Linked DNA regions of Cricetulus griseus. The protein of the gene in region 1 purifies or fractionates together with the protein of each later gene. This does not show direct contact. Links are inferred from orthologs where the notes say so. Each region holds a gene or a part of one and is shown in the gene's direction. Other genes may lie near its edges.

What was found.
Region 2: the proteins of Pogz (region 1) and Cbx5 purify together in Homo sapiens (affinity purification with mass spectrometry; 5 studies listed by BioGRID and IntAct, with this or other methods). This does not show direct contact. The link is inferred for Cricetulus griseus from reciprocal best matches to the Homo sapiens genes POGZ and CBX5.
Region 3: the proteins of Pogz (region 1) and Znf428 purify together in Homo sapiens (affinity purification with mass spectrometry; 3 studies listed by BioGRID and IntAct, counting the BioPlex papers as one, with this or other methods). This does not show direct contact. The link is inferred for Cricetulus griseus from reciprocal best matches to the Homo sapiens genes POGZ and ZNF428.
Region 4: the proteins of Pogz (region 1) and Cbx1 purify together in Homo sapiens (affinity purification with mass spectrometry; 7 studies listed by BioGRID and IntAct, with this or other methods). This does not show direct contact. The link is inferred for Cricetulus griseus from reciprocal best matches to the Homo sapiens genes POGZ and CBX1.
Region 5: the proteins of Pogz (region 1) and Champ1 purify together in Homo sapiens (affinity purification with mass spectrometry; 4 studies listed by BioGRID and IntAct, with this or other methods). This does not show direct contact. The link is inferred for Cricetulus griseus from reciprocal best matches to the Homo sapiens genes POGZ and CHAMP1.

The regions. Positions count from the first base shown.
Region 1 is NW_023276806.1:61,638,449-61,644,518, reverse strand, and holds part of Pogz (pogo transposable element with ZNF domain), read left to right. Parts: intron 1-455; coding exon 456-793; intron 794-1,779; coding exon 1,780-1,934; intron 1,935-4,092; coding exon 4,093-4,193; intron 4,194-4,655; coding exon 4,656-4,802; intron 4,803-6,070. UniProt on the Homo sapiens protein: Plays a role in mitotic cell cycle progression and is involved in kinetochore assembly and mitotic sister chromatid cohesion.
Region 2 is NC_048595.1:399,590,883-399,596,952, reverse strand, and holds part of Cbx5 (chromobox protein homolog 5), read left to right. Parts: intron 1-2,398; 5' UTR 2,399-2,440; coding exon 2,441-2,577; intron 2,578-6,070. UniProt on the Homo sapiens protein: Component of heterochromatin that recognizes and binds histone H3 tails methylated at 'Lys-9' (H3K9me), leading to epigenetic repression. In contrast, it is excluded from chromatin when 'Tyr-41' of histone H3 is phosphorylated (H3Y41ph).
Region 3 is NC_048602.1:27,016,132-27,022,779, reverse strand, and holds the start of Znf428 (zinc finger protein 428), read left to right. Parts: upstream 1-2,695; 5' UTR 2,696-2,935; intron 2,936-3,022; exon of another isoform or gene 3,023-3,086; intron 3,087-3,454; exon of another isoform or gene 3,455-4,408; intron 4,409-4,920; exon of another isoform or gene 4,921-5,037; intron 5,038-5,243; exon of another isoform or gene 5,244-5,305; intron 5,306-6,648.
Region 4 is NC_048600.1:109,950,362-109,956,431, forward strand, and holds part of Cbx1 (chromobox protein homolog 1), read left to right. Parts: intron 1-2,349; 5' UTR 2,350-2,386; coding exon 2,387-2,526; intron 2,527-3,020; coding exon 3,021-3,198; intron 3,199-4,286; coding exon 4,287-4,381; intron 4,382-6,070. UniProt on the Homo sapiens protein: Component of heterochromatin. Recognizes and binds histone H3 tails methylated at 'Lys-9', leading to epigenetic repression. Interaction with lamin B receptor (LBR) can contribute to the association of the heterochromatin with the inner nuclear membrane.
Region 5 is NW_023276807.1:67,001,543-67,007,612, reverse strand, and holds the end of Champ1 (chromosome alignment-maintaining phosphoprotein 1), read left to right. Parts: intron 1-1,882; 5' UTR 1,883-1,931; coding exon 1,932-4,289; 3' UTR 4,290-5,440; downstream 5,441-6,070. UniProt on the Homo sapiens protein: Required for proper alignment of chromosomes at metaphase and their accurate segregation during mitosis. Involved in the maintenance of spindle microtubules attachment to the kinetochore during sister chromatid biorientation.

The DNA.
Region 1 (6,070 bases):
GTCACTAGAAGAATTAAAACCTGTTACCTGGTCCCTGCTTTATTTATAGTCTTGTAACTTTCTGGTATCAGTCCAAATGAAAAGGTTGGAACTTCTTTCTCTAGAATGTTCCAAGTCAAATGATGCTATTATAAGTCTCTAGACAGGCAGGTGGGAGAGCTCTAAAAGGTGTAGTGTTAGAGGCTCTGTGGACATATAAAAGAAAAATGTGAACTCTGGGATTACTAAAAAAAGCAAGATGAAAGCTGGAAGATAACCACCTTACCCAGCTCAGGTGTGCTAATGAATGCCTATAGTCCAGCTACTCCTGGACTATCCTGAGCAGAGATCCCAGTGTCCACAAACATATCCTTTATTGCCTACATTAACAGATCACTCCCAGGGACTATTAGTGATATGGATTTAGCTCATCCTAGTCTCGGGTAATCAGAATCATGACGTCATCTCTTTTACAGTACTGCTGCCCTGAAATGGTTGAGTACCAGAAGAAAGGCAAGTCCCTCGAAGCAGAGGCCAGTACTCCATTGGCAGCAAAGCCCTCATCCCCTGAGAAGACAGCTCCCATCACTTCCACACCCTCCTCTACACCTATTCCTGCTCTCTCACCACCTACCAAAGTACCAGAGCCAAATGAGAACGCTGGAGATGGCGTCCAGACCAAGCTTATTATGCTAGTTGATGACTTTTACTATGGACGGGATGGGGGCAAGGTAGCCCAGCTCACGAGCTTTCCTAAGGTTGCCACATCTTTCCGATGCCCTCATTGTACCAAAAGGCTAAAGAACAACATTAGGTAAGCATGAAAGTAGACAAATTTTCTTACCTTGTTAAGTTTTTCTTTTTGGAAACATTAATTATGATGCAGTCTTGTTAGAAGTTATAGTGTACAATACTGTTATTTTATTAATAAAGGATACCAGTCTCTTTGCACAGAACCTAATTTTAGTTTTAACAACCTATTATTTGGGGACTGGAGAGATGGTTCAGCAGTTGAGAGCACTGCTGCTCTTCCAGAGGACTGGGGTTCAATTCCCAGCACCCACATGGTATCACAACTATCTGTAACTCCAAGATCTGACTCCCTCTCACAGACATACATACAGGTAAAACACCAATGCACATAAAATAAAAAATAAATTATTTAAAAAAAAAAAAAAAAAAGGCCAGGCATTAGTGGTACACACCTTTAATCCCAGCACTTGGGAGGCAGAGGCAGGCAGATCTCTGTGAGTTCAAGGCGAGCCTGGTCTCTAGAGCGAGTTCGAGGACAGCCTCCAAAGCAATACAGAGAAACCCTGTCTTGAAAAACCAAAAAGAAAAAAACAAAAAACATGGTATCTGGCGCTGGAGAAGAGGGCTCAAAGGAAGTTCAAAGTGTGCTCTGCTCTTGCAGAGGATCTGAATCCAGTTCCCTCGCACCACATCGGGTGCTGCTGATTGTGACTCCAGCCCCAGGGGACCCAGTGCCTCTGGTCTCTTTAATCACTGTACCTGTGAGTACATGCCCACATACATAGACACACACGCATGTACAGAATCTGTGAGTACATGCCCACATACACAGACACACACGCATGTACAGAATCTGTGAGTACATGCCCACATACACAGACACACACGCATGTACAGAATTTGAAAAATTTCGCCAGCTCAGAAAAAGACTATCCCAAATAGAGGCAGTTGGAGGAGAGAGCAAATAATATTTGCTTATAATTCTATCATATCTCTCAAAGACTACTGATTGTGTTTTCTGTACTTTCTCTTTGTGCTGTGTTACAGATTCATGAACCATATGAAGCACCATGTGGAACTTGATCAGCAGAATGGCGAGGTGGATGGTCACACTATCTGTCAACACTGTTACCGCCAGTTCTCCACCCCATTCCAGCTCCAGTGCCACTTGGAAAATGTTCACAGTCCCTATGAGTCTACTAGTAAGTTTGAAAATGCAAACTCCAGTGGAGGGGTGGGAGCTACCTTTTTGTCACTTACTGAATGACACTAGCAAAGAGCTCTTTACATGCAGATAATAGTTTTAGGGACTTGCTTTTCCCTATTTCTTTCAAGCCTGATTTTAAAGTACTATAAAATGAGAGCACTAACTTAGAGTAATGAAGTCATTTGCTTAAAACACACATTTCTAGCCAGAGGTGGTGGTGCACACTTTTAATCCCAGCACTTGGGAGGCAGAGTCAAGCAGATCTCCGTGAGTTGGAGACCAGCTTGGTTTACAGAGTGAGTTTCAGGGCAGCAGGGCTATGCAGAGAAACCCTGTTTCCAAAAAAAAAAAAAACCAAAAAAACCAAACACATATATTATTTCTATTGAGTTGGCATTTTGAGATGGGAGCCCAGCATTTTGGATCAATTAATTTTGTTTTTTCTAGACAGGGTTTCTTTGTGTAGCGCTGGCTGTCCTGGAATTCACTCTGTAGACCAGCTGGCTTTGAACTCAGAGATCCACCTGCCTCCTCTTCCTGAGTGCTACAATTAAAGGCATATGCCACCACCACCACCACCCAGCTTCAGGATTTTAATTTTTAGTGTGTGTGTGTGTGTGTGTGTGTGTGTGTGTGTGTGTGTGTGTGTGTGTGTGTGTTTGTGTGCACATGCTCCTAGGCACGGACCTACAGAGGCCAAAGGCATCAGATTTCCTTGGAGCTAGAGTTAGAGATGATTGTGAGCTGCCCAGTATGCTGGGAACTAAGCTCCAGTTCTCTGCTAAAGCAGTATACACTTTCACCACTGAACCATCTCCTCTCCCTGTTCAGATAATTTCTGGTGTCCTTTAAAGGATTGCCAGTTTTATTAAAAGTTATGCTAAGTATAATTATGTTATGGATAGGAGCTTACATAATTATAGTGAGAATAAAACAATATTATATGTTAGTTTTACAGGCTCATGCCTGTAATACCAGCACTTAGAAAGCCAAGGTAGGAAACACCACTGAGTTCAAGGCAATCCTAGGCTACATAAGACCCTGTCTCTAAAGAATCAAACCTGCCTTAGGTGATAGCAGGGATGGTAAGATAATTCCAGGAAGGGAAAGATCTTGTGTTCAGGTTTCACAAAAAGTAGTGGTTAAACTTTCAGAGTTTTTAATGTAGGAAGAACTTAGAAAGACTCAAGGGGTGGGCCATTGTCTGATAAGTACTTACAACTTTAAGTCTTCAATCTCCATATTTCTAGAAACTTGAAAGGCCAGTGAACAAAGAAAAACACAAACATGTCCCCTTTTCTAGCCATACTTTATAATTCAAAATATGAAGCAATTAAAATTTTTATGAAAAATTTATAATTATATCCTTATAATCAAGCTTGACAAATTGGCTGATTTCAGAGTATAATTATCTTGAATCTGTTAATATAGAAAGAGAAATGCCATTTATGACAAAGTAAGAGCATCTGTCCAGCCAAGTGTGGTGACACATACCATTATTCCCTGACTTGGGAGGCAGAGGCAGAATGGTCTATGAATTCCAGGCCATACAGAGTTGTGTAATGAGACCCTGTCATAAAATCAGAAAGCAAACATCTCTTAGTGTTTGTCAGCCTTTTCAGAACAAATTCTTTCTGGTACTTCATGGACAGTCAGTAGATATTCATGAATTACTTATATAAATTAGAATCTTTGTCCTTAGTCACAGGCATAAAATCATGTTGTATTTTAAAAGAACTCATTCAGTAGTGAAGAATGCACACTGCAGATATATGGAAGCTGATGAATAGTAGTAAATCATAAGGGTTTCTACCAAGTTCTTACCTGTCATTGAGTGATGACAACAGTGGGTATTGAGTTAAAAAGAGAAGTAAGAGATAGGAAATGGTAAACAGAGAATGTGATGTCAAGTTAGAAGTAGAGAGAATGCCCAAATTAAAATGTAAACAGTTCACAGTCTAGAATAGAACTTTGTTTAAAAAGACTGAGTTAGAGACATAGGGACATCAGTTGTCATTGGCAATACAAATGTTAGAGCAGAACCATTTTACAGAAGTGTTGGTGATTGCAAGTGGAGATGCAGAGTCAGAAAGAATCTTAAGGGCTATGATCTTACATCCAGGTGCATGTCTAGATTATTTTTCTTCTTACAGCCAAGTGCAAGATCTGTGAGTGGGCATTTGAAAGCGAGCCACTGTTTCTCCAGCATATGAAGGACACTCATAAGCCTGGAGAGATGCCTTATGTTTGTCAGGTATTGCCTTTTTCTCCAGAGCATTTTAGGCATTTTGTTTTAAAACTGATTATAAAGAAATCCTGTAATGAATATTCTTAAATACCCACTGTACACATTCCGTTTAGGTATTGTGAAGACATACAGAAGGAGACTAACACAGTTCCTGTAGTTAGGACTTTCTATAGGGTAACACCCAGACAGGGGCCTCCTGTGCATACTAAGAGAGTCTGTCTCCCAAACTTCCCCTCTCAGGATAGAGGATGCTTTTATTCCTTAGAAAATATGGGTCATTCTCAGACTCTGCTGTCCTTTACTATTTTTATCACAGCTAAACTTATCACCCACATAGATCTCCACTACAGTACCAGAACAATAATATCTATGCATTCAAGAATACCCACCTCCCAGCCCTTGTTGTTACCTCTTTTTATGGCTCCAGTTATTCACTCTTACTCTTATTTTCCTTCTTACGTGACTCAGGTGTGTCAGTATCGCTCCTCCCTCTACTCTGAGGTAGATGTCCATTTTCGGATGATCCATGAAGATACCCGGCATTTGCTCTGCCCGTATTGCCTGAAAGTCTTCAAAAATGGCAATGCATTCCAGCAGCACTACATGAGGCACCAGGTATCAGGCACCAAGACAATCCTGTATTCTCATTTGAATTTCTGGATTCTAGGGTCAGGGTTGAGATAGATAAACAATGTTGGTAGAGAAGATACTACTGTGAATAAACATCATTCAGTTCCTATTACTTGCTACATACTGGGTTAGAGGTTAGAGATGTGTTAACAGGGCAAGAGAGCGAGGAGCAGCTCCCTATCCTGGGAGCTGAGGGGATATCCAGGAGGAAGTGGTGTTTGAGGTGCAAAAGATGAATAATGATGAAGAATAAATAGAACAGAGAAGTAGTGTACCTGAAGCACAAGGTACACCTGGGGCAGTGTAAGGAAGGGAGAGGTGTTCTGTGTAGATAGTGGGATACAAGGCAGGTGTCAGAAGCTAGGTGGGGACAGGAGTTCAAGCCCTGAGTGATAGGTTCCTACTTGTTTTATTCAAGATTTTTCCCTGGCTGCACTTAGTGAACTGAATGGAAACTAGGAGCAGACAAAAGACTAGCCAAAGGCTTTTTATTAATCATGTAGGTAGGAGGTGACAATGGGTGTTGTTTATGAAGTGAAGAAAAGGAATAGAGTTAACAGTTATTGCTAAGATAATATGGTACTTAAGATTTAGAGATGAGTTAAGTGAATATCAAGAGAATAAGAATAGTTCCTAAAACAGGTACTGTCTTTGTCTTCAGAGTTCTATCCATGCTGCTGTCAGGCTAAGTTCCAAAGGGCTTGAGGACTTGAGGCCCTGTAGCCTGGGCTACAGATAGCAAGATCTTTTGTCAAAAAAATCTTAAATGGTGCCTAGTCATCTCTGACAGTTGGATGAATACCAGGACTATTTGCTGAGAAATACTGGAGAAAGAAAATTTTGAGAGAATACTCAGATTTGGGTATTTGGGCTTAGCACTGTCTGTTGACATTACAACAGCAGGTAGATAAAAGATCTGGTCTGGGTTGCTACGAGACTAATTTGAGAATTATTATATAAATTCATTAGGTTTTAATCTAGCCTTAGCTGGCCTCAAACTTAGAGAGATTCATCTGCCTCTGCCTCCTGACTGCTTAGATTAAAGATGTGTACTACCACACCTAGTTGATTTTATTTTTATCTTATGTGTATGCTGTTTTGCCTACATGTGTGTCTGTCCCATGTGCATGCCCTGTACCTGAGTTACAGATGTAAGCCACTGTGTGGGTACTAGGCATTGAACCAGAGTCTTTGAAGAACAGCCAGTAGTACTTCTAACCACTGAGCCATCCCTAGACCCCAGCTGATTTTAA
Region 2 (6,070 bases), on another chromosome or scaffold:
CAAGAAGTTACATAGTGTCATTAAAATACTTCCCCTCTCCCTTTCCCTGTTACTTCTTTCCCTCAAGCTATTTTAATTAACTGTACAGTGACAGATGGTGGAAAAAGCTTTGTCCAAAGTGCTTCTAGATTAGGGTGGTTTGTCTTGGGCTGTTGTAGGAAGGGCCTACTCTTACCCCTCCCCCTCTGCCAGTGAGCTGTAATCCTGTTAGGTGGTCCTAAAATGAATGCAATTGATTAATTCACAGTGCTTTTAGAAGAATAAGCCTAAATTTTGGACTTTAAACCAAAGAACTAACCCCCTTTAGCTCTGAAAGCCTTAGCCTTGAGGCCAAGGGAGGTACCTTCCAACTTCTCCACCCAGTCTGCAGTGAAAAGGAAAGTTAAGCCTTTTAACTTTTTCATTTGCCTCTCTCTCTTAGTCTAGTAAGGCTGCCAGTTGCCATGGCAACGGACTGGGACAGCTGCGCAGTGGCGCCCAGGCAGCTGGGTGGGGGCGGGGGAACTGCCAGCCCGCCAAGCCCCAGACCTGGGAGGGGAGGCCCCTCCTGTTAGCCCAGAGGGAAAGAACGAACTGGGGCGATCCGGTAGGTAAGGGAGGGAACCCCTATTGATCTACTTAGGGCTTCTCTTTAGCATGAAGGTATAAAGAAAAAAATTCTCTTCCTCCCTCAAACTGTAGAACACATATGTAAATCCTTGTTTTTTTCCCCTGGTGAGGCAGGGAAGGCCATAGCCACAATGCTTAACTGCATGCTTCCAACATGGGGCTGGTTTAAACCCAGCGCTCTGACCTAAACTGCTCAGCTCCCGGAAATTCCAAGGTGAGTGGGGGTGGGGGTGGGGTACTCTCTTCTGGAATATGACATTTCCTGTCTGTACTGAGGTCGGAGGCTATTTATTTTAAATAAACGTTATTATATTTTTTTGATGCCTGGGAGTCTTCTAAATTAATGGAAAATTTATTTGAAAACCTTTTTACCTATATTTCCCCATGCCTTCACTCTCAAGTAAAGTTATTATAGGTTAGAAATTAATACAAGCAGTTTTTGTGACTGGCCTACCTACTGCTAATAAGTTCTGTGGATAGGATTTTTCAACACTATATTCCTGTAATGTTTCTTTAAAATTACTAATTTGAAATAAATTGATAAATACAAACTTCTGCTTCTTTGACTTGAACATAATTCTGAGATTAGTTACCCTTTCTATACCTGAGGTTGGCTTTCTGGCCAAGATGGAAATGTTATGAAAAACATCTTTAGAAATTATAGAGAAATAACAGCGGAGTCAGCTGAGATTGATTCCTGCTATTTGATAATCCAGACTGTGGGTACCATTTAACATGATTAAGGAAGAATTCTTTTAAAACGATTATGGTTCAGCAGTGTGGGAATTTTTAAAACTAGATTCTCTGTTGAGCACCTCTGACTGCATATTTCTGAGCCTAATTTCCATTTGTGCTGCCTTGTCCTGGCTTTCCTGGGAGATGAATAGTCCTCTGTGTTCTGAGGAGGCTTCATGTTGATTCAGAATCTGGGGCCAGACTTCTTTCCCCTCCTCTTCCTTTGGCCCAAAGTCAACTTCAGTGAAGAGGCAAGGTACCTCCATAACTGTTTGGGTTAGTCGAGCCCTGGGAATTACAGACTAGTCCAATGACTAATTTTGAATTTTTTTCCCTCTGCCCCCTTTCCCTTCTATTCCCAAATGAGCTTGCTAAAAAGGAGGCTTAGTGTTTTTGAGCTGTCAGCCTTGTTTTTGTGAGCTGATGGACATGCTAAAGGGACAGACTCAAGTTGTTTAAGGGAAATGTACCAAGTCACTAGAAATGTGGTGAGAGATGGTTAACTGCCGTGTGTGTGTGTGTGTGTGTGTGTGTGTGTGTGTGTGTGTGTGTGTGTGTGTATGTACACGTACACGCTGAGAAGAGACTGACCAAAATGCTCAGAGTATGGAAAAGTTACTTTTGGGTGTTTTGTGGGGGAAGGTTTCTTTTTTTCTTTTTCTTCATTTTTATAAAAACATGTATTCGCCTCAGAGGAAAAGGATTTTTATTTTTTGGTTCCTTTAATTGAAGGTTTTCCACATTTTCCTTTGAGTTCCTGGCTCACAAGTAGATGCAGAAATGGTCATGAGTAGCATGTCATGCTACTTGGTTTTTTGAATATTAAAATTAAAGGAATGTGTCATCTAATTTGATCTCTTCAACTGAAGAGAAGTTGTTGTTAGGGAAATGTGGATTGACCCATTTTAAAATTAAATCTGTAGCCCTGTCTTAGAATAATTGTAGACCAAAAAGAAGGGTATGAGACTGACTAGTATTGTACCCTCTGTTCCATCAAGAAGTGGCAGTTATAACCCTCACGGATTGTAACCGTTTTATCTTTATCCCTTTTCAGGAACCTGGTGGCCTTAGTCCTTCAGGTGGATCAGCGTGCGACATGGGAAAGAAAACCAAGAGGACAGCTGACAGTTCTTCTTCCGAGGATGAGGAGGAGTATGTGGTGGAAAAGGTGTTAGACAGACGCATGGTTAAGGGGCAAGTGGAGTATCTGTTGAAGTGGAAAGGCTTTTCTGAGTAAGTGCTTTCTTTTTCAGGCATTAGGACTCTGTAGAGGTAGAAAAATTTACCCAGAGCCACTGTCTTTTTCCCATTTATACACTTTCATAAAAATCAAGAGAGTCAATAGACCACAATAGTCTCCCATTGTGGAGCTGATGTTTTAATAATCTTATATTTGAGGGGTAATTTAAGAAATTGGTTGGGAACACAAATTTGGGAGCCAGATAGTCTGGGACCAGATTCTTGTTCCACCCTTTAAGATATAGGTGGATGAACTTGGCTAATTTCTTTTATTTTTGTTATTTAAAAAATTCTTAGCTGGTTGGTGGCGTACACCTTTAATCCCAGCACTTGGGAGACAGGCAGATCTCTGTGAGTTTGAGGCCAACCTGGTCTACAGAGCTAATTCCAGGCCAGCTAGGGGTGTTATACAGTGAAATGCTGTTTTGAAACCAAAAAGAAAAAGAAAAGAAAAAAAAATATTTTCTTGCTGGGCTGGGTGATGATACACACCTTTATTCCCAGAAAGGGGGGGGCATGGGTTTGAGGCCAGACTGGTCTAAAGATAGTGTTCCGGGACTGTCAGGGCTACACAGAGAAACCCTGTCTCCGAAAACACACATAAATTTTTTTTTTTTTTTTTTTGTGTGTGTGTGTGTGTGTGAGTCTTTTACCTGCATGTATATCTGTATACTGCATTTGTGTTGTCTGGTGCCCACAGTGCAGAGAGCGCATCAGATCAGCTGGAACAGGAGTTGCATATGGTTGTGAGTGGCCATGTGAGTTTTGGGAGCCAAACCATGGTTCTCTGGGAGAGCAGGCAGTGCTCTTAAATACTGAGCTATTTCTTCGGTCCATTGTTTAATTTTATAATCTTTTCATTTTTTCCCCTTTAATAAAATAGGGACAAGAGGTGGGTGTAGTTTAATGGTAAAGTGCTTTCACCTAGCATACTCAGGGTTCTGGTTTGATTCTCAGGTATGCCAGAAAAAGAAAAGAAAAGAAACAGACAAAGACAGAGATAAGACATACATAGTACTTAGAGGTCTCAATGAGTGTGAGTAGACCACTTGTTATGGCAAGTGTGAGCATTTGAATTTAGATACTAGAACCCATGCAGAGTTAGGCACATGCATCTCTCCCTGTGGTCCCACACTGAGATTGAGACTGAAACAAGAGAATCCCTGGAAGCCTGAGGGGTAACTAGCCTGGCATACCTCGCAGTGAATAAGTTTAGAAGGTGGGGACCTACAACTGAGGTGGTCTCAGACTTCCAGTCATACACACCCACACTCATGCAGACAAACAGGAATATACACTTAATAGATACACATGTGCATATATAATAAACGATTTATGAAAAGAAGCCAAGGCTTTAATCCCAGCTCTCTGAGTCAAGTGGATCTCTGTGAGGTCCAGGTTAGTGCTGAAAGCATTGTACTACTATGCCCAGTTTATAACTAGCATTTCAATATAAGTGCTTTTTTGTTTGTTTAAATTTTTAATTTCTAAGGGGCAGGTCACTTTCACTTTCTTGTGTGAGTCAAAGTCTCTTGTTTTGGTTGTGAGCAGGATATCTGAGGCTAGCTTTCAGCCAGTTCTGTCTTTGCCCCCGCATCTTGCAGTAGGAAGACCAGCACATCCAGCTTTTTAGTTCCAGGGACTGAACTCTGGTCTTCAGGCTTGGATAGGAAGTGTATTTACCTACTGAGCCATTTTCACAGCCTGACATCACAACTTTATCTTTAGCAGAAGATATATAGCTCAGTAGTGGAGTGTTTGCCTAGTGTATATGAGGAATTGGGTTTTGTTCTCTTGGATTTTTGGTTTGGTTTGGTATTTTGTTTGTTTGTTTTTGTTTTCGAGTCAGAGTTTCACGGTCCTTGGCTGTCCTGGAACTAGCTCTGTAGACCAGACTGGCCTGGAACTCAGAGATCTGCCTGCCTTTGCCTCCCTAGTGCTGGGGATTGAAGGTGTTTGCTACCACCTGGCTGGGTTTTAATCCTCATTACCACAAAAAGCAAACAAAAACAAAATGCAATAAAAAACAACAGGTAGAAGTAAATTTGCTAAAATAGTCAATGTTTTGCCAGTACTTTAAAGTTAGGTCCCTTCAGGATCTATTGAAAGTTATTTCCTTTCATGATTTAACATTATTCTTATGGAGTACTGGGCATTTTAGGTAAGTTGATTCATGCATAACAGATTATTTAGCATCTGTTATACCAGAGTGCTGCTTTGTTTTTTGTTTTTTGTTTTTTTTTTTTGCTTCCAGACAGGGTTTCTCTGTATTGCTTTGGAGCCTGTCCTGCAATTTGCTCTGTAGACCAGGCTGGCCTCTAACTCACAGAGATCCATCTCCTGCCTCTGTCTTCTAAGTGCTGCAATTAAAGGGGTGTGCCACCAACACCCAGCCCATAGTGCTATTTTTATACAAGGTCTCATAGCCCAGGTTGACCTAGAACTCACTATGTGTCCAGAGATAGCACTTGAAGAGTTCCAGGTCATTCCTAGACTTTCCATCAAATTACCACTAGAAATACTTGTATGTTTGAAAGGTGGTTACAACTGTTTGAACTTTCCCAGCAGTGGTGGCACATGCCTTTAATCCCAGCACTCAGGAGGCAGAGGCAGACGAATCTCTTGTGAGTTTGAAGCCAGAGTGAGGTCCAGGACAGCCAAAATTACAGTGAAACCCTGTGTCGAAAAGCAAACAACAACAAAAAAAAACTGTTTGAACTTTTGGTACTTTTTTGGTTTTTTGAGACAGGGTTTCTCTGTGTAGCTTTGGAGCCTATCCTGCCACGCGCTCTGGAAACCAGGCTGGCCTCGAACTCACAGAGATCCGGCTGCCTCTGCCTCCCTAGTGCTGGGATTAAAGGCATGCGCCACCACCACCCGGCCTGGACTTTTGGTACTTAACATAAGTGAAAGACAAAATTGGGGTAGATAGATTAAGCATTGTCATAAATGAATGTCTGGGATTGGGATTGGAGATAGGGCTCAGCAGTTATGAGCGCTTCTTGTTCTTCTAGAAGACTCTAGGTAGGTTCCCAATACCTTTGTACCACAGCTCACAATGGCCTGTGACTCTGGTTTCAGGAGTCTGATGCCCTATTCTAGCCATCTCCACCACACATAAACATTTTTACATTTTGTAAAAGAATTTAAAATATTTTTTTTTATTTATTTATTTTCATGACAGGGTTTCTCCTTATAGACCAGGATGCCCTCAAACTTAAGATATCTGCCTGCCTCTGCCTCCTCAGTGCTGGGATCATAGGTATGTGCCATCACACCTAGCAAATACAATCTTTTTAGGAACAATTGCCTGGGATTTCATAAAAGGCTAGAATAAATTTTCCTTTCTTCCCTGAGCATTATCTGCAAGAGAAAACCTAGCTATGTACCATGGCAGCGTCCATATATAAACTGTTTCTTCCTATAGCATACATAACTTGTGGTAAGAGTTTAATTTGTTAGGCAAGTACAAGTTTAACAGTAGAAA
Region 3 (6,648 bases), on another chromosome or scaffold:
CTCCCACCCCAAACAAAAAAGCCTAAGGCTTGCTCTAAAATTGTAAAGAAGGCAATTAAAATGCCAGCTGGGTGTTATAGCCCTTTTAGAGGCTGCAGTAGGAGATTCTTGAGTGTGGGCTATACATTAAGTTCCTGTCTAATAAAATAAAATAGAAGAAGCTGGGTGGCGGTGGTGCACACCTTTAATTGTAGCGTTTGGGAGGCAGAGGCAGGCGGATCTCTTTCATTCGAGGTCAGCCTGAAATACAGAGGGAGTTCCAGGACAGCCTAGGCTACACAGAGAAACATTGTCTCAAACAAAACGGTGGAGGGGGGGGGCGCTGGTTGTTGATGGTTTATGCCTTTAATCCCAACACTCAGGAGGCAGAGGCAGGTGGATCTCTGTGAGTTTGAAGCCAGCCTGGCCTACAAGGTGAGTTCCAGGACAATCTCCAAAGCAATACAGAGAAACCCTGTCTCGAAAAAGCCAAGCAACCAACCAAAAAAATAAATAAGACCAAAACAAAACAAAACAAAAAGATAATGCACCTTTAATCCTAGTACCTGGGAGACAAGCACAGGTAGATTTCTGTAGCCAGCCCTGTCTATATAGCAAACTTCAGGCCAGGGCTATATAGTGAAACTCTACCTAAAACACACACACACTCTCTCTCTCTCTCTCTCTCTCTCTCTCTCTCTCTCTCTCTCTTACACACACACACACACACACACACACAGAGAGAGAGAGAGAGAGAGAGAGAGGTGGCATACTGTTTTATTTTGTTATTAATGGAGTCATGTTATTAATGGATCACGAAGTCTCAGGAACTCTTCACCCACCATCAGAAGTAGGTACTGTGTCAGTCTCCCTAATCCACTCAGGCTGCAGGTGCTGTATCATTAAGGAAGGCCCCTCAGGTTGGCATCAGTGCCAAGACAAAGTAAGCACAGAGCAGCAGGTGGGGGGGGGGAAGCATTCTCAGATAAAGCCAACAGCAAGATCAAAGCCTGAGACAGCAAAGAGAGGACTGTGTTTGAGTGCTGGGGATCTGAACCTGATAAAAAAACGGGGGTGGGGTCCAGAAAAAGCATCAGGGTCAGAAGTATTGGAAAGGCCAGGTATGGTGACGTGGCCCTGTCACTGGGGCATTTGGGAAGCTGAGGCAGAAGAACTTGCAGGAAGTGCGTGAAAACTAGCATGGAGCTAGAGTGAGTTCCAGGCCGTCGTGGGCTGCACATGGAGGCTGTCTCAGGAACAAAGCACAACTTTCGTTCTCCACCTGTAATGGGACTCCAATGGAGTGTTTTAGGTTGCTAGTGATAAAATCAGTTTTTTTTTGGTTGTTGTTTTTCAAGACAGGGTTTCTCTGTGTAGCTTTGGAGCCTATCCTGGCACTCACTCCGGAGACCAGGCTGGCCTCGAACTCACAGAGATCCGCCTGCCTCTGCCTCCCGAGTGCTGGGATTAAAGGCGTGCAATGCCACCAATGCCCGGCATAAAATCAGTTCTTTCGAGCACAGTTTGGGACGGTTGTGATGGCTACATATAGTCAGCATAAAGTTATAGCTCTTTAAAATCAGCTACAGGAGTTGGGCTTGCTGCCACATGCCTGTAATTTCAGCTCTAGAGGCAGTGCTCAAGGTCATTCTCTTTAACCCCGGGGAGTTAGAGACTAGCCTGAGTCCCTGCATCAAAAACAAAATACAAAACAAAAAACAAACACTTAAGAGATTTTCTCCTCTCCAATTGTGTCCACGCAAAAGAAGCGGCCTTCACTTCCCTTGAGAATGCAGACACCCTTTTGCCTCTGGGCATTTGCATTAGAAATTTCCCTCTGCCGAGAGACTCCCAGTTGAGCTGGCTCCAGTTCAGGCTTGGCTTAAAAATCAGCCCTGGAAGTCCTTGCAGAACCCGAGCCTGGGGCAGGCCTCTCTGGCACCCGCAGCCTCCTGCTCGCCACCTCCTCCGGGTGTGCAGTTGTAGGCTTCAGTCTAAACAAGATGTGGTCCGTCTTCCTTACGCTGAGGGTACCGGATCTCCCGAAACGCAGCAGCCACGTGCTGGCCTGATTCTCCAGGAGGGCAATGAAAAGTCTTACTCTGGCCGGGCGTTGGTGGAGCACGCCTTTAATCCCAGCACTCGGGAGGCAGAGGCAGGCGGATCTCTGTGAGTTCGAGGCCAGCCTGGTCTCCAGAGCGAGTGCCAGGATAGGCTCCAAAGCTACACAGAGAAACCCTGTCTCGAAAAACCAAAAACAAAAAAAACAAAAAAACAAAAACCAAAGTCTTACTCTGGGGGCGAGAACCTGCTCCTAGACCTGGTGCATTTTCAGGGCAAGGCAGCCAGGCCACTTTGCTCAACGCTGCAGTCGCTGGACGCATGCGCCTTGCTCAGGTCGCCCCCCCACCACCCCGTCCCCATCCATCCTTGCATCCATGCATGCGTGCATGCATATGCTAATCACTGCGCTGGGAAGGACGGCCTCTCCCGGGAATATGCAAATCACATCCTCCGGTGCGGGAGGGAGGCCTTCCTTTGTCCCGCGCTAGCATTATGCAAATAAGCGAGCTTGCAACCCCGGGGTCGGGGGCCGAGTGCTCAGCCAGCCCCCTCCCTCCCTCCTCCCTCCCTCCCTCCCCTCCCCTCCCCTCCGAGCATCCCCTATTTATGCGCTGTGCTCGCTCCCTCGCGCTCGTCCCTTCGGTTCCCGAAGCCGCGGGCGGGCTCTACCGAGTCCAGCGGGGCCGTGAGCGGCGGGAGTTCGGGTCCCCGCGCCCGGTGCGAGCCGCTCTTCCCACCAAACGGCCCGCCTGGCCGCGCACGCGCCCTGGGCTCCTCCGCTCGCCCCTCTCTTGCTCGCCCAGGCTCCCTGAACGCAGGCGCAGTGCCCGGGCTTGCAGCAGCCGCCGCCGTCGCCGCCCCCGAGTGCGAGCCCGAGTGCGAGCCGGGGCCGGTGAGTGTCCGGGCTTGGGGTGCGCGGGGCATGCTGGGAAGCGGGCGATACGGCCCCGCTGCATGACGGGAGCCCGGCCGCCCCGCTCGCCCGCTCGCCCGCTCGCCCGCCGCTCGCCCGCGGCGGCGGCGGCGGCGGCGGCTCGGCCCCGGTGAGCAGCCCCGAGCGGGAGAGTCGTTGGCTTGCCTCGCCTCGCGGCCTTGCGGGAGGCAGCCTCGGGCCAGGCGCGTTACGGGAAGGGCCTGGGCTCCCCGGGGTGGGGGTGGGGGTCTTTTTCTTTTCTTTTCTTTTTTCTTTTTTTTTTTCTTTTTTTTTTTAGAATGTGGTCGTTCAAGGCCCGGGGCGTCGTGGGAAGTTGTCACGGGGCATTGTTTGGTGCCGGGGTTCGGGGTTTGCGGTTTGGGGTTTGTGCGAGCCTTGCTGCTCGCTCCCACCGTGTCGGGTCTGCGTTGTGTGCGGTCCGGGCCACGTTATTGCCTTGGTGGGAGGTGACGGGGGGTGGGGTGGGGGACACACAGGGGTTCCTGTAGCCCTGACTGGGGGTGGCTTTGAACCCCCACTGTTGTGGAGGGTGACCTAAGAATTTATAGTCTTCCCCAAGTGCTGAGTTTGCAGGGGTGCAGCACCACGCCCAGCTGAGTTTCACCTGTAGGGCTGAGGGTGGTGATGGGGACACACAGGGTTTCCTGTGGCCGTGACTGGGGGTGACTTTGATCCCCCACTGTTGTGGAGGGTGACCTAAGAATTTATGGTCTTCCCCAAGTGCTGAGTTTGCAGGGGTGCAGCACCACGCCCAGCTGAATTTCACCTGTAGGGCTGAGGGTGGTGATGGGGACACACAGGGTTTCCTGTAGCCCTGACTGGGGGTGGCCTTGAACCCCCACTGTTGTGGAGGGTGACCTAAGAATTTATAGTCTTCCCCAAGTGCTGAGTTTGCAGGGGTGCAGCACCACGCCCAGCTGAGTTTCACCTGTAGGGCTGAGGGTGGTGATGGGGACACACAGGGTTTCCTGTGGCCGTGACTGGGGGTGGCTTTGATCCCCCACTGTTGTGGAGGGTGACCTAAGAATTTATGGTCTTCCCCAAGTGCTGAGTTTGCAGGGGTGCAGCACCACGCCCAGCTGAGTTTCACCTGTAGGGCTGAGGGTGTTTCCTTTCTTTTTTTTTTTTTTTTTTTTTTTTTTGTACCCCCACTATCTGTCTCGGAAGTCATTCAGTCTGGTGGCATCCACGACTTCTGTACCGAGGATGGTTGCACCTGATAGATGTGGAACATTCTGGAAGGAGCTTGGTGTAATGTGGGTTTTTGCAAAGGGAGGGTTGTCCCCAGGTCACCCCGAGGGGAAACTCCGGACGATCCCTGGTGTGGTAGCCAAGTAGGCGAACAGTGAAAGCCCTTGGTGTGGTGACACATGCCTGTGTATAGTTCCAGCACCCCTTGGCCGGGGCAAGAGAATCAGGAACTATATATAGGTCAGTTCTGGCTGCATAGTGAGACCCGATCTCAAAACAGAGGGAGAATGGGTTTGGGTGGTGGTAGGTACAGCATGGAACAAGTATATTATTTACCCAAGATAGAAACCAGCTGTTTTTAGTTTAGTTTGTTTTTTTCAGGCATAATGTAGAACTAAGATTTTATTTATTTATTATGTACACACCATTCTGCTTCCATGTCTATCTGCACACCAGCAGAGGGCGCCAGATCTCATAACGGATGGTTGTGAGCCACCGTGTGGTTGCCTGGAATTGAACTCAGGACCTCTGGAAGAGCTGTCGGTGCTCTTAACCTCTGAGGCATCTCTCCAGCCCGGGATCCGTGTGTTTTTAAGTTCCCCCTCGATTGAAGCCATTCCACTCTTCCTACTCCAGCTGCGTTTCCCCTGACAGTGTACTTGACGGCTAGGCTTTGAAAGAAAAAAAAAAATAGTGTACTTTCTACTGTTGTGTCCCCAGTGCCTAACATACAGGCTTTGTCATATTTTTAGTGAGGCTGAGCCCCGTGGAGTGGTGCACGTCTGTAATCCCTGCACCTGAGAGGCTAAGGTTGGAGGATCGAAGGTTCAAGGCCAGCCTGGACTGGATAACACTAGTCTGTGGAGAGTGTAAGGATATTGGCCCTCTCACAGTGCACGGGGAGGAGGGAAGGTGTGCTTTGGGAGAGACAGGGATTATTAGGACTGAGGAGAGGTGTAGAATGTGTTTATAGGTGCGTTTTTTTATTTTTATTTTTTTGGTTTTTCGAGACAGGGTTTCTCTGTGCAGCTTTGGAGCCTGTCCTGGCATTCGCTCTGGAGACCAGGCTGGCCTCGAATTCACAGGGATCCTCCTGCCTCTGCCTCCCGAGTGCTGAGATTAAAGGCCCGGCTATAGGTGAGTTTTTGCAAGGTGAAAATTAGTTCTCGGGGCCCGCAAAGAGGAAGGAGAAAACTCCAGGTGGAAACTTCAGGATATACTAGGACCTCTTCCCCTCTAGCTATAAAGGGCCTGTGTGCACCCTCGAGAGGTCTGGAGTGGCTGGGGGGATGGGCAAGGGCCACCACACACCTGCAAGTTCTATGAATCTTAGGGTTTTTTTTCTTTTTTTTTTTTGAGATGGTCTCATGTAGCCCAGACTCTGTGGTCAACAATGACTTTAAACTTCCATCCTAAGGGCTGGATTACAGGTGTGGATGGCCACGACTCTGAGCCTATTGATGTTCAAAGCATGGCTTTGAATGCTTGTTCAACCACCAGTCTGGGGCGTTGGTGGCGCACGCCTTTAATCCCAGCACTCGGGAGGCAGAGGCAGGCGGATCCCTGTGAGTTCGAGACCAGCAGCCTGGTCTACAAGAGCGAGTTCCAGGACAGCTTCCAAAAGCCCCAGAGAAACCCAAAACAAAAAAAAAAAACCAAAACCAAAAAAAAAAAAAACCCATCAGTCTGGTGAGGTGACCTCGATCTTGGGCTTTGGAATACCTGAGGGGCCTTTCTGTTCCTTATTTCCTCTTCTGCTTCAAGGGAGCTGTTTCTGTGTGGTACTGAGTGCACCAATCAAGGCCTGGTGGCAGACTTTCCAGAGAAGGAAACAGACAAGAGAAGTTGGGTCCTGTCTGGAGCTATAGCCAGAAAGGCACATATTTGGGTTTAAACCTAGTCAAGGCTGACTTGCACAAATTAGTGTAGGATGAGGCCTGACACTCACTCGGGGCATGGCGGTGCACCTGTAATCCTGGGGTTTGGCAGGAAGATCTGGAAATCAAGGTCATTTGAGACTATTTAGTGACCTTGAGGCTAATCCAGGATGGGGGGGGGGAGTGAAGAGTGGCACTGGAGCTCAGTTGGTACTGTGCTTGCCTAGCACGCACGAAGCCCTAGGTTTGATCCCCAGCGTTTGGGAGGTAGATCGGGGAGCATCAGAAATTCAGGGTCAGCCTCGGATATTTGAGCTCTCATAAAAACAAAACACTTCCAGGACAGTTAGTATCTCCACTGTACCATGTTTTTCTGTATCCCTAATTTTTAATGAGGGCCTCCCTCAGTCCCTGACATCCCTTGCCTCTCAACAACTAAAGGGTTAATGCTTTATGATTGGTGCCCATGCCAGTACCTACCTTTGAATAACTAGGGATGTTATCTCTTCCCTAACCTACTGAATAAGATCCATAAAGTCCTGTTTCCCAGATAAGGAAGTTGAGGCCTCCAGGAGGCAGGGTCTGCAGAGTCGGGGTTCTGTG
Region 4 (6,070 bases), on another chromosome or scaffold:
GCCTCGTCTACAGAGTGAGTTCCAGGACAGCCAAGGCTACACAGAGAAGGGGGCGGGGGCTAGAACATCAGAACTGAATGGATTAAAAGGTAAGAGGTTTACAGGGAACTAAAGTTTATATGCTAGAATATTTCAGGGACTTTCTGATTTAGGGTATTGTGTAGACAAAGATAAACCTTGAACCCCTTGATTCTCCTGCTAGGATCACAAGCATTCGTGCGCCACCATGCCCGGTTTTTAGGGGTCAAATGCAAGGCTTCATTTGTGTGAGACAAGCTCTCCACCAACTGACCTGTATCCCCAGCCGTATTTGGGGTTTTCATCAAACAAAACCAACTTCCAACATGAAAGAACAAGTTTCACCCATATATAATTCTATGTGTGGATGTGTGTTGGAGCATTTTTTAGACTTGTGTGGTTATTGCTTTTAATTATTTCGTGTGCATTGGTGTTTTGCCTGCATGTATGTCTGTGTGAGAGTGTCCGATCCTAAGGAACTGGAGTTATGGTTGAGAGCTGCCATGTGGGTGCTGAGAATTGAACCCAGGTCCTCTAGAAGAGCAGCCAGTGCTCCCAACTGCTGAGCCATCTCTCCATTCAGAAGCATGTTTTAGAAAAGAATAAACTCAGGACCTGCACTTGGCCTTGAGTACTAAAGTCAGGTGGCCTTGAGTTTATGTGGAACCCATAGGAAGGTGGAAGGAGAGAACTAGCTGCACAAAGTTGTCCTGCCCAAAAGAAGACAAACTTTACTACATCTCTGATGGCTACCTTCCTCTTTTCCCCCTGCTCATTTTCTAAGTTATTACAGTACTCCAGCTTAAATAGTTAATCTGGTGCTTCTTCTAAGCAGTCTTGAGGCTTAGAAATAAAGTAAACTAAGTCAAATAATAGTGATTTATGGGCAAGGGCTGTAGCATAGTACCTAGCATTCTTGAAACCCAAGGTTTAATTCCTAGTACTACCAAAGGGAAAAATGGGAGTTGGCTGGAGTTGTAGCACAGTTGGTAGAGTAGTCTCTTGCCTTGTATATTATACAAAGCCCTGTGTTCAGTCTTTTAGCACTACTGGGGGGAAGAGACAAGAGGGTCAGAAGATCAAGTTCATCCTCTGCTACATCATGTGAGGTAGCTTAGCCAAGCCCGAGACCCACATGGAGCTGACTCCCACAAATTGTCCCGTGACCTCCGTGACACCCAAACTTAGACTACATGAGTAAATGCAGTAAAAGAATTTTTAAAGTTTGAGCTGTGAATTTATGATGTCATTCAAGAAAAGCAAAGTGAAAAATAAAGGGACTTTTTAGCTGGACATGGTAGCATACATCTATGATCCCATTACTTAAAAGATAGAGACCAGATCAGGGATTCAAAGCCATCCTGAGCTATATGAGACTGTGAAGGCTGGGCGGTGGTGGTGGCACATGCCTTTACTCCCAGCACTCGGGAGACAGAGGCAGGAAGATCTCTGTGAGTTCGACCCACACATTGTAGTATCACCTATAATTCCATCACATAGAAAGCTGAGGACAGGACTGGAGAGATGGCTCAGAGGTTAAGAGCACTGGCTGCTCTTCCAGAGGTCCTGAGTTCAATTCCCAGCAACCACATAGGTCACAACCATCTGTAGAGATCTGGTGCCCTTTTCGGGCCTGCAGACATACATGCAGACAGAACACTGCATGCACAACAAATAAGTAAATAAATAAATAAATAAATAAATAAATCTTTAAAAAAAAAAAAGGAAAGAAAGCTGAGGACACCTTGGGCTTCTTAATAAGTCCTTGTCCAAAGGGAAAGAAATTTGCTGTGAGATTAATAATCATGGCTAGGGGTTAGAAAGATGGATCTGCAGTTAAGAGCATTGACTGCCCTTCCAGAGGACCCAGCATCCACATGGTAGCTCACAACTGTCTGTAACTCCAGTTTCTGGGGACTTGACACCCATGGCAAAACACCAATGCACATTTTTAAAAATGAATTAAAATAATAATTGTGCTTTTAAAAAAATAATCGTGCCGAGTGGAGGCAGCAGCATGGGCCTTTAATCCCAGCACTCAGGAGACAGAGGAGGCGGATCTCTGTGAGTTCAAGACCAGCCTGGTCTACAAGAGCTAGTTCCAGGACAACCTCCATAGCCACAGGGAAACCCTGTCTCAACCCCCCCCCCCAAAAAAAAAAAAATATAGCTAACTTGCTAGCTAACGTGGAAACGTGGTTGTGAACTGGAGATAAGTAGAGCATTATACATAAGCAGTGTACATCATCTGTGATTTCCCTTACCATCCAGATATTTATCTGACCAGTAAATGTGCCTTGATGCCCTTTTTATTTTCTTTTGTCATTTTAGCAGCGTCACTCTTTACACCGGAAAGCTGGCGGGTACTATGGGGAAAAAACAGAACAAGAAGAAAGTGGAGGAGGTTCTAGAAGAAGAGGAAGAGGAATATGTGGTGGAAAAAGTTCTTGATCGACGAGTTGTCAAGGGCAAAGTGGAATATCTTCTAAAGTGGAAGGGTTTCTCAGAGTAAGTTTCATTGGCACAGGTAAATTCAGTCCTTATGCTTGATACCTGTTCTGTGATGGGTATACCTGGGGTCAGTCCTGACCTCCACAGCTGATAGTCTACTGAGGAAGGACCTACATGCAGAATACTGCGATATATGGCAGCATTTTGTTTTGTGTATGTGGCATGTGTGGCCTTAAGTCCTGGGATGAAAGTCAGGTCTTCAGGCTTGCCAGATGTCTCCTTTTTCCCATTGAGCTATCTCACCAGTCCACAACAGTGATTTCTGAGGAGCAATTTGTATAAGATAGTCCACCTCTGCAAAGTAGTTTTTCCTTGAAGAAGACAAGTTTCTAAGCCTTTGGTCTTTACCATCCCCTGCTAGGAAACTTCTTAATTTTGAACAAAAATCTAGCTGTTCCTTATCATTTAACTCTCTTCCAAGACTACCTCCTCTCTTAGTTACAAATGTTGACTTGAGTGGAAGTGTAACTTGCTGTGATTGCTGGTTTCAGTGAGGACAATACATGGGAGCCAGAAGAGAACCTGGATTGCCCTGACCTTATTGCTGAGTTTCTACAATCACAGAAAACAGCCCATGAGACAGATAAATCAGAGGGAGGCAAGCGCAAAGCCGATTCTGATTCTGATGATAAGGGAGAGGAAAGCAAACCAAAGAAGAAGAAAGAAGAGGTGAGAAACTTAGGACAAGGATTTAAGTATTGGGCTTACAATTATGAGCTACGATACTTGAACTTCTTCCTCTGAATCTCAGCAGTTATGTCCTCTGTCCTTCGGAAATAAACTAATGTTTTTAAAAGATTTGGAAGTCAACCATGTGCACACCTGTAATCCTAGCAGAAGGATCAGGTATAAGAGACCTTGACTACAGGAGACCTTGTCTCATTGAAACATAACAAAACCAAAAAAAAAAAAAAAAAAAAAGGATTTGGGACTTATTCCTGTAAAGTGATCTAATCTTTTTATCTATGGTGCAAGAATGATGGGATAGCCGGGTGTTGGTGGCACATGCCTTTAGTCCCAGCACTTGGGAAGCAGAGGCAGGGGGATCTCTGTGAGTTCCAGGACAGCCAGGACTGTTACACAGAGAAACACTGTCTTGAAAATCCAAAAAAAAAAAAGCACTGACTAGCTGCTCTACCAGAGGTCCTGAGTTCCATTCCCAGCAACCACATGGTGGCTCTGTAATGAGATCTGATGCCCTCTTCTGGCATAAAGGATGTAACAGTTACTGGAGACACATGACAGCAACTGAATTTGTTTCCTGTCAGTAGATTGCTGTCAATAGATTGCTTTTAGTTTTTTGTTTGTTTGTTTGTTTTTTAGATTTATTAAGTATACAGTGTTCTGCCAGCATGTGTGCCTGCAGGCCAGAAGAGGCACCAAATCTTATTACAGATGGTTGTGAGCCACCATGTGGTTGCTGAGAATTGAACTCAGGACCTCTGGAAGAGCAGTCAGTGCTCTTAACCTCTGAGCCATCTCTCCAGCCCACTTTCAGTGTTTTGATCATTACAGATTTGAAGTAGCTGTTTTGTCTTACTTAGTATCTTAATTAATTTACCTTTGAAGAGACAGCATGAACATTTCTTTTGCTTGGGGTGTGTGTCCCATTCATGCCAGGGGTACCTCATGGTGTGGGAAGCAGAGGAAACCTTTAGTGAATGTTTGTGATTACATTTCTTAGAAACACAGCAATAACTTCATTCTGGATATAGTCCTATGCCAATAAAATTGTTCTGTCCTTCTGGTTTTTACAGTCAGAAAAGCCACGAGGCTTTGCCAGGGGTTTGGAGCCTGAACGGATTATTGGAGCTACTGACTCCAGTGGAGAACTCATGTTCCTGATGAAATGGTGAGTCTGCCAGTGGCTCTGTGTGGTTGTTTCTTCCCTTCTCCATCTGTTCTATGCCAGAGGAAAAGAGCTGCACCTTCGAAATTCCAGTCGCCAGGTGTGAATCTTTAAGATGACATAGTCCTTCGATAGTGATCCTCGGCATGACTACAAACCTGGACTCATGAGTTACAGGTAGGGGCCCTTAGGATTTTCAGATCTCTGATTTTTTTTTTTTTTTTTTTTTCTTTTTCTTTTGGTAGGTGGGAGAGACTATGGAGAGGAATCACATTTCAGTTCTGTTGAGTAAAGAAAAAAATTCTGAGATGTGATTGGATTGAATTTCCCTCCTTCTCTGCCACCTTCTTAGTAAAGATCAGGCCGGCCCCAAAAACAGGATTCTGTTCATGTTTGAGGGTAGGAAAGAATTTATAGAATTTATTTTTAAATTTCAAAATTAGCCAGCAGGGGTCAGCAAGGCCTCTACTGTTTACTGTTACTGAGCATAATGTAAGCTTGCCTCTTTCTATTAAAAATACTAGTGGTAACAATGTAGACTTGTTCTAAATAGAAACAGTGGGTGGTGTTTGTTAGCACTAGGCAGCATCACCTGCTGAACATGCTTGTACTTGCTGTATTTTTGTGTGCTGCCAGCACAGTAGGTTTCTATGACTGGCATGCACCACGGCATCACTCGGTAATGGCCAGATAATGTTCTGGCCAGAACATTATCAAGCAGTACATGGCAGTACTTTCAAACAGTTTAATGAAGAGTTCAAGTTAGTAAAAGTAATTATCTTTGTTTTTTTATTGTTTTGAGACAGTTTTACTCTAGCCTAGGCTTGCCTTGAACTTGAAATCCTCCTGCCCCAGACTCTGTGCTGAGATTACAGGGACATGCCACCATGATGGACTAGGAAGAGTAAGTGTTAAGCCATTGCCAGTTAAAATAGGATTGTCAAGTCTTTGTCCTTTGATTGGTCTAGAAATTTCTCTGAAACTAGTATCTATGGTAGTTCTTCCCTAGATAATGGCTGGAGTAAGTTCAATGCAGGTGAATGCCTGTGTCACAATGAACTAACCACCTATTTTCTTCTGTGTGTTCCTCCAGTCTTTATTGATTCGGACCCTCTTCTAACTTACAGGAGAAAAGAAAAACTGAATAAATAGTAGTATGTGTTAAGTAGTCTAGTTAGGATACACTTGTTCTGTATATCACTAGTGTGAGTTACAGTAGTATCTCCGTATTTTGAAGGGTTGCATTCTTGGTTAGGTATGGTTTTGCACACTTAGAATCCCAGCACTCATATAAAATGAAAGTATCACAAGTTAGAAGCAAACACACACACACAAGCCATTTGTAATAGCCCATATCTGTAATTGCAGCACTAGAGGTTACTGGGAATATAGAGTAAGACTTTGCCTTAAATAACAAAACAAGGATAAAAAGAAGTCTAGGGGATTAATTGTCTTACTACTATATCTAAAGTTAAGATTTGGATGTTGGAAGCCAGGTGTTGGTGATTTTGGTGACACAAGCCTTTAATCCTGGCACTCGGGAGGCAGGAGGATCTCTCTGAGTTCGAGACCAGCCTGATCTACAAGAGCTAGTTCCAGAACAAGCTCCAAAGCTACACAGAGAAACCCTGTTGAGAGAGAGAGGTGAGGGGGTAGGGAGAAAGAGATTTGGATAGTGGGCTAGGGGTGTGG
Region 5 (6,070 bases), on another chromosome or scaffold:
TGGTTTGGTTTGGTTTGGTTTGGTTTGGTTTTTCAAGACAGGGTTTCTTTGTGGCTTTGGAGGCTGTCCTGGAGCTAGCTCTTGTAGACCAGGCTGGTCTTGAACTCAACGAGATCCGCCTGCCTTTGCCTCCTGAGTGCTGGGATTAAAGGCATGCACTGCGGCCACCACCACCACATGGCTTGGTTTTTTGTTTGTTTGTTTGTTTGTTTGTTTACCTAGACAATACTCTGTATTATAGTCCTGGCTGTCCTGGAACTCCCTGTAGATCAGGCTAGCCTCGAACTAGTTGCACCAGCAATCTGAGTGCTTGTCAAGAATGTGGGTTAATATTTCCTGAAATTACATAAGCCATGAATTAATGGGGGAGTGACAACATTGGAGGGACTGCAATGGGGAAGATTATGTAAATACAGTACATATCTCTGAAATTTTAAAAAGTTTTTAAGACATTCAAATAAAATAAAAATGAAAAACAACAAACCAAAGATATAAGTGTCTACAAAGAAGAATGAAACAATTGAAATTAGGAAAAACATACTAAATGATTGAAAAAAATAATGGGGTAAGAAAGCATAATTTAAGCCAAATGTGGTGATGCATTTGTAATCCTAGCAGGTGGGAGGTCTAGGCAGGTGGATCAACAGTTTGAGGTCAGCTGAGTGTTGGCAGCACACAATTTTAATCCCAGCAGAGACAGAGACAGGCGGATGTCTGTGAGTTATCCTAAAACTTGCCATGTAGACCAAGCTGGCCTTGAAGTTTTAGGATAGCCAGGTCTACACAGAGAAACCCTTGTCTTGAAAAACTAAAAAGAAAAGCATAGTAAAGCTGGTGTGGTAGGTTACTTCTATAATCCCCAGTACTCATGTGGTTGAGGCAGGAGGATTATATTCAGTTTTCAGGTGGTTATTGAGTGCTACCTAGCAACACCCTTCCTTTTTTTTTTTAAAGGAAGTAAACAAAGAAGAAAGGAAAACTTTAAGCATCAGTAGTGACATACTACTTGCCACCTATATATAGCAAGGATTTTTAATGTTATTCATTTTTGAGGAGTTGGGGAAATCTTTCTCATCTGTACTCTTGCATATTTTTAAATTTAATCAAGTACTTTGAACCATGAAATATTCTCTACAAAACTACACAAAGAGTAGAAGAAAATTCTATGCTTACTCTCTGTATAAAAATGCCCTAGATGGACTCTTAAAGTGGTTAGACACAGATAAATGTAGTATGAACCATGTGTGTCACACACTGTGTCCTTGAACATTTCCTCAGTGACACTAGCTGCAGTGAAAACACTGACTTACAATTCCAGCCTCCATAATATTCCCTGTCTGACCGTTGCTGGAGTGCTCTGGAAAGTGCTGTGGGGTCTCACTCAGAGGCCTTTCCAGCAGCTTATCTGTTTTTATCCCAGGATGGATAAATCTTACAAAAACTGATAGAAACGATAGCCATTCAGGTTAAAACAGCCTTTCCATAGCTAGACTTACTAATTTATTTCCTGGAAAGGATCTAAAGTTAAGATGTGTGTTATCACCTTTGTGTGTTGACAGCTTGTAGATTCAGGATTTTAGGATCAAGTGTAAAGCTACAAAAAATTCATTTTTGAGAACCTGAGAGTCCTAAACCTGAACTAGAGGAAGTCAAGTCAGTTGGTTTCTCTGAAAACGCAGTTTCTTCGCCTGTAGATGAAAATACTTGAGTGATGGTGTCAGGAGGACCATGTTAGGAATCAGTCTCCCACAGGGCAGCCTGCGGAAGTGTTTTGTGCAGCAGCTTCTGCCTTCTGGACTTGAAGCTGTGCATTGAGTGTTTACTGAGGACAGTGTCCCTGCAATAATCTCTCTCTCCCTCTCTGTCTCTCTCTCTGTTACAGCAGAGTGGAAAGCTGTTAAAACACACGAAGCCATCTGCATTAGCGTAAGATGGAAGTGTTCCCGGAACTGCATACTCCGTCACTAAGCTTGGAGTGTGATCACTGTGGTTTTAGAGGCACTGATTATGAGAATGTGCAGATCCACATGGGCTCCATCCATCCTGAGTTTTGTGATGATATGGACACTGGAGGACTAGGCAAGTTGATATTTTACCAGAAGAGTGCAAAGCTCTTCCACTGCCATAAGTGCTTCTTTACCAGCAAGATGTACTCTAATGTGTACTATCACATCACAGCCAAACATTCGGCCTCAGAGAAGTGGAGTGACAAGCCAAAGGACCAGTTGAGCAAAGAGACCCAGTCTGTAAAAAGCCCTTCCCTTCCTGAACACCAGAGCACAGCCTTTGACCCAGCAGAAGTGAGGCCTACTCCAGCCCTCCCTGTAGAAACACAGAAAACTGGTCCCAGTTTGTCTCCAGAGCCACAGAAGTCTGTTCCTCCTGCCCTGGAGCCTCAGGATTCTGGCCCTGTCTCTCCTGAGCCACAGGCACCTTGTCTTCCTGCTGAGGCCTCAAAAACTGCTTCTGTTTCTTCTCCTGAATGCCTGGACACAGCCAGTGTGGTTTCTGAGCTGCAGAAGGCTGGTCCTGCTTCCCCTGAGTCTGTCAAGTCTGCTCTTGTTAGCTCCAAACCCCAGAAGCACTCTCCCTTTGCAGATACAGGGGCCCCCCCTTCTGCCTTGTCTCCAGAGTCACCAGTTCTGGCCACATCTCCTGAGCCTTGGGGGCCATCCCTAACTGCATCTCCTGAGTCTCGGAAGCCATCCCCATCAGAGTCTCCTGAGCCAAGGAAGCCATTCCCTGCCATCACTTCAGAGCCACGGAGACCAGCCCCAGCAGTATCACCAGGTTCCTGGAAGCCAGGACCACCTGGTTCTCCTCGGCCTTGGAAATCCAGTCCTTCAGCGACATCGGGACCTTGGAAATCATCTAAACCTGCTCCATCTATTTCTCCTGGACCTTGGAAGCCAATACCATCTGTATCGCCTGGGCCTTGGAAGGCAGCTCCACCTGTTTCCTCTGCATCCTGGAAGTCTTCAGTTTCATCTGGTTCCTGGAAAACGCCCCCCACATCCCCAGAGTCATGGAAGTCTGGTCCCCCTGAGCTCCGAAAGACGCCTCTTGCTTTGCCACCTGAACACTGGAAGGCAGTGCCCCCTGTGCCTCCTGAGCTTCGAAGACCAGGTCCGCCTCTCTCCCCCGAGATCCGAAGTCCAGCAGGATCTCCAGAGCTCAGGAAGCCTTCAGGGTCCCCAGACCTTCGGAAGCTTTCTCCTGACCAGCGGAAAAGCTCTCCTGCTTCACTTGATTTCTCTGAGTCCCAGAAAAGTTCTCGTGGTTCTCCTGAGTCCTCCTTCATTACAGAGTCTCAGAAGCCTAGTGTCTTCCCCGAGGCACGGAAACATGCTTCTCCTGGCTCATCTGAGCCCCCAAAGGTGACCTCAGACATATGGAAGCCTGTCCTCTCTATTGATGCTGAGCCTAGGAAGTCCACACTGTTTCCTGAGCCCCCCAAAACAGTCCTTCCCGCTTCTCCTGAGCCACGGAAACGTGCACTTTTCCCAGAGTCCCGGAAGCATGTACTTTTCCCTGAGCTCCCCAAATCTGCTGTGTTCTCTGATACTCAGAAGGCCACTGAGCTTAGTGAGGAGCTACAGCTGGAAGCTGTAGATGATGCAAAATGTGATAGTGTGGTCCAGGAAGGGCTTCTGGCTACACCCAAGAAACTGTTAGAAGATGCTTTATTTCCTTCTTCCAAGAAGCTCAAGAAAGACAGCCAAGAGAACTCGGATGCTGAGCTCAGTAGCAGTGAGTACATCAGAACAGATTTAGACACCATAGATATCAAGGGCCAGGAGTCAAGCAGCGACCAAGAACAGGTGGATGTAGAATCTATTGATTTTGGCAAAGAAAACAAAATGGAGATGAGTAGTCCTGAGCAGTCCAAAAATGTGCTTCAGTTCACTGAAGAGAAGGAGGCATTCATTTCTGAGGAAGAGATTGCAAAATATATGAAGCGTGGAAAAGGGAAGTATTATTGCAAAATTTGTTGCTGTCGTGCCATGAAAAAAGGTGCTGTTTTGCATCACTTAGTTAATAAGCACAATGTTCATAGCCCATACAAATGCACAATTTGTGGGAAAGCATTTCTTTTGGAGTCTCTTCTTAAAAATCACGTAGCAGCCCATGGGCAAAGTTTACTTAAATGCCCACGCTGTAATTTTGAATCAAATTTCCCAAGAGGCTTTAAGAAACATTTAACTCATTGTCAAAGCCGGCATAATGAAGAGGCAAATAAGAAGCTGATGGAAGCTCTTGAATCACCATTGGAGGAGCCACAGATGTGACTTTCAAACAATACCTGCTCTGCAATGTTTTTTGCCAAACTCAAGCTTGTTGAATAGCCTAGTAGATGCTGTGTAGTGTATCCTGTTCGTCTTAATAGTGTTATAAAGAATAAGCACTTGGTTACTTTTTTTATGTGACCTCCTGTTTATGTGGCTGGCTGTTTTATAAGTCAATACATTTCTGTTATGTATTCCAGATGGATATAACTCATTATCCTTAAACTCATTTTAGTCATAATACAAGGAGTGGGAGGAGATAGGCAGTTCATTTAGTAAACAAGTTTAAACCTAATTAAAACCTTTCTCCTCTCTCTTCCTTCCTCCCTCCCTCTTTCTCCTTCTCTCCCCCCTCTCTCTCTCTGTGTGTGTGATTGATTTCAGATCATAAAAACTATTAGGTAGAGGGCTCAGTGGTAGAGCACTTGCCTAGCATGTTTTGAATATTAACTGTTCCACAGTTCAATCCCTAGTACCTTAAAAAAAAACAAAACAAAACAAAAAAAAAGATGGTTTGAGAATTGAGCATGAAAAGTAAATTTGAGAAAAATTTTGTTAACCTTATAAGTACTTTTGAATCATGTTTCATATCCTCTTTCTTCATGTAAAATCAGTATAAGAATCTTTAATACTTTCCTGGGTGTTGTGGAGCTGGAGTCTTAGGGGTCACTGGTTTTCTGCTGATAGGACAATTGAGTATACCTAAGTGGTTTTGCAAAGACTGAGAAGACCATGTGATTAAGGCTACGCTTAGCTGTAGTTATTTTCAGTTGTGTCTTGGCCCTCACTCGCTTCTCTGCCAGTTCACATTAGCAGATGATCCATAATTGCCAAACCCCCTACTCCTGAGCCTTCCATGCTCCCTGCTGGGGCTAAGACCTGGGTAATAATGAGAAGGAGCTGAAAGTCATCCCGACTCACAGTTCAAAATGAATGAATAGATAGGAAGTACACACTAGCCTCAGTTACATGAGAGGCCAAGGATCACTTGAGCCCAGCCTGGGCAGCATAGCGAAACCTGTAGAAACATTCTGATTTTCTTTCTCACAGTTTTGTCATTGTAAATACCTTGTTTCTCTTCATGGATGATGATTTTAATGTACTTTGTTAAATGTTTATCAACCAAATTAAAAAGGCTTTGGCTTTCATGTTAATATCTTCGTGTACTTTCTTTTAATAATTGTGTTATAGTCATGACTTCTGTCATTGTGTCAGATACTTGAGGAAGATAGTTTGGGAAATGTCCCGCGTGCTCTGTATTTCTCGCCAGCAAGAAATCATACACGGGACACTCGGATCCTTCTGCAGACAAGCTTTAATGCATCTTGAGAGTGAAAGAGCAAAAGCTTCCCAGAGCGAGACACTAAACCAAGAAAACCATCCCTTATAAAGGCTGGCCAGCCGCCTGGGACGTGTTACCCTATGAATGGCTTCAGCTCCTCAGGCCAAAATGAGCCACGGGATAGGCAGAGATCAAAGGAATGGAGATTACCCAGCGCCTGTGAAGTAATTTACATCTTGGTGTCTTCAGGCACCTATTATTGTAATGGATAATGCAGGAACCGGCTTCCTACAGGGAAAGGCTTATTTTGGCTCATGGGTTGGGAGGTTTCAATAGGTTGTAAGCCTGTGATGTGGAGGAAGGGTATGGCAGAAAAACACTGCTCACCTCATGGCATCCAGGAGTAAAAGAGGAGTGAGGAAGGGCCAGGGTCAAGGCCAAACCTTCCTCCAACTGTGCCACCACCTCCCAGTAGTAGACTCAGTTTTTAGTCTGCTAGTAG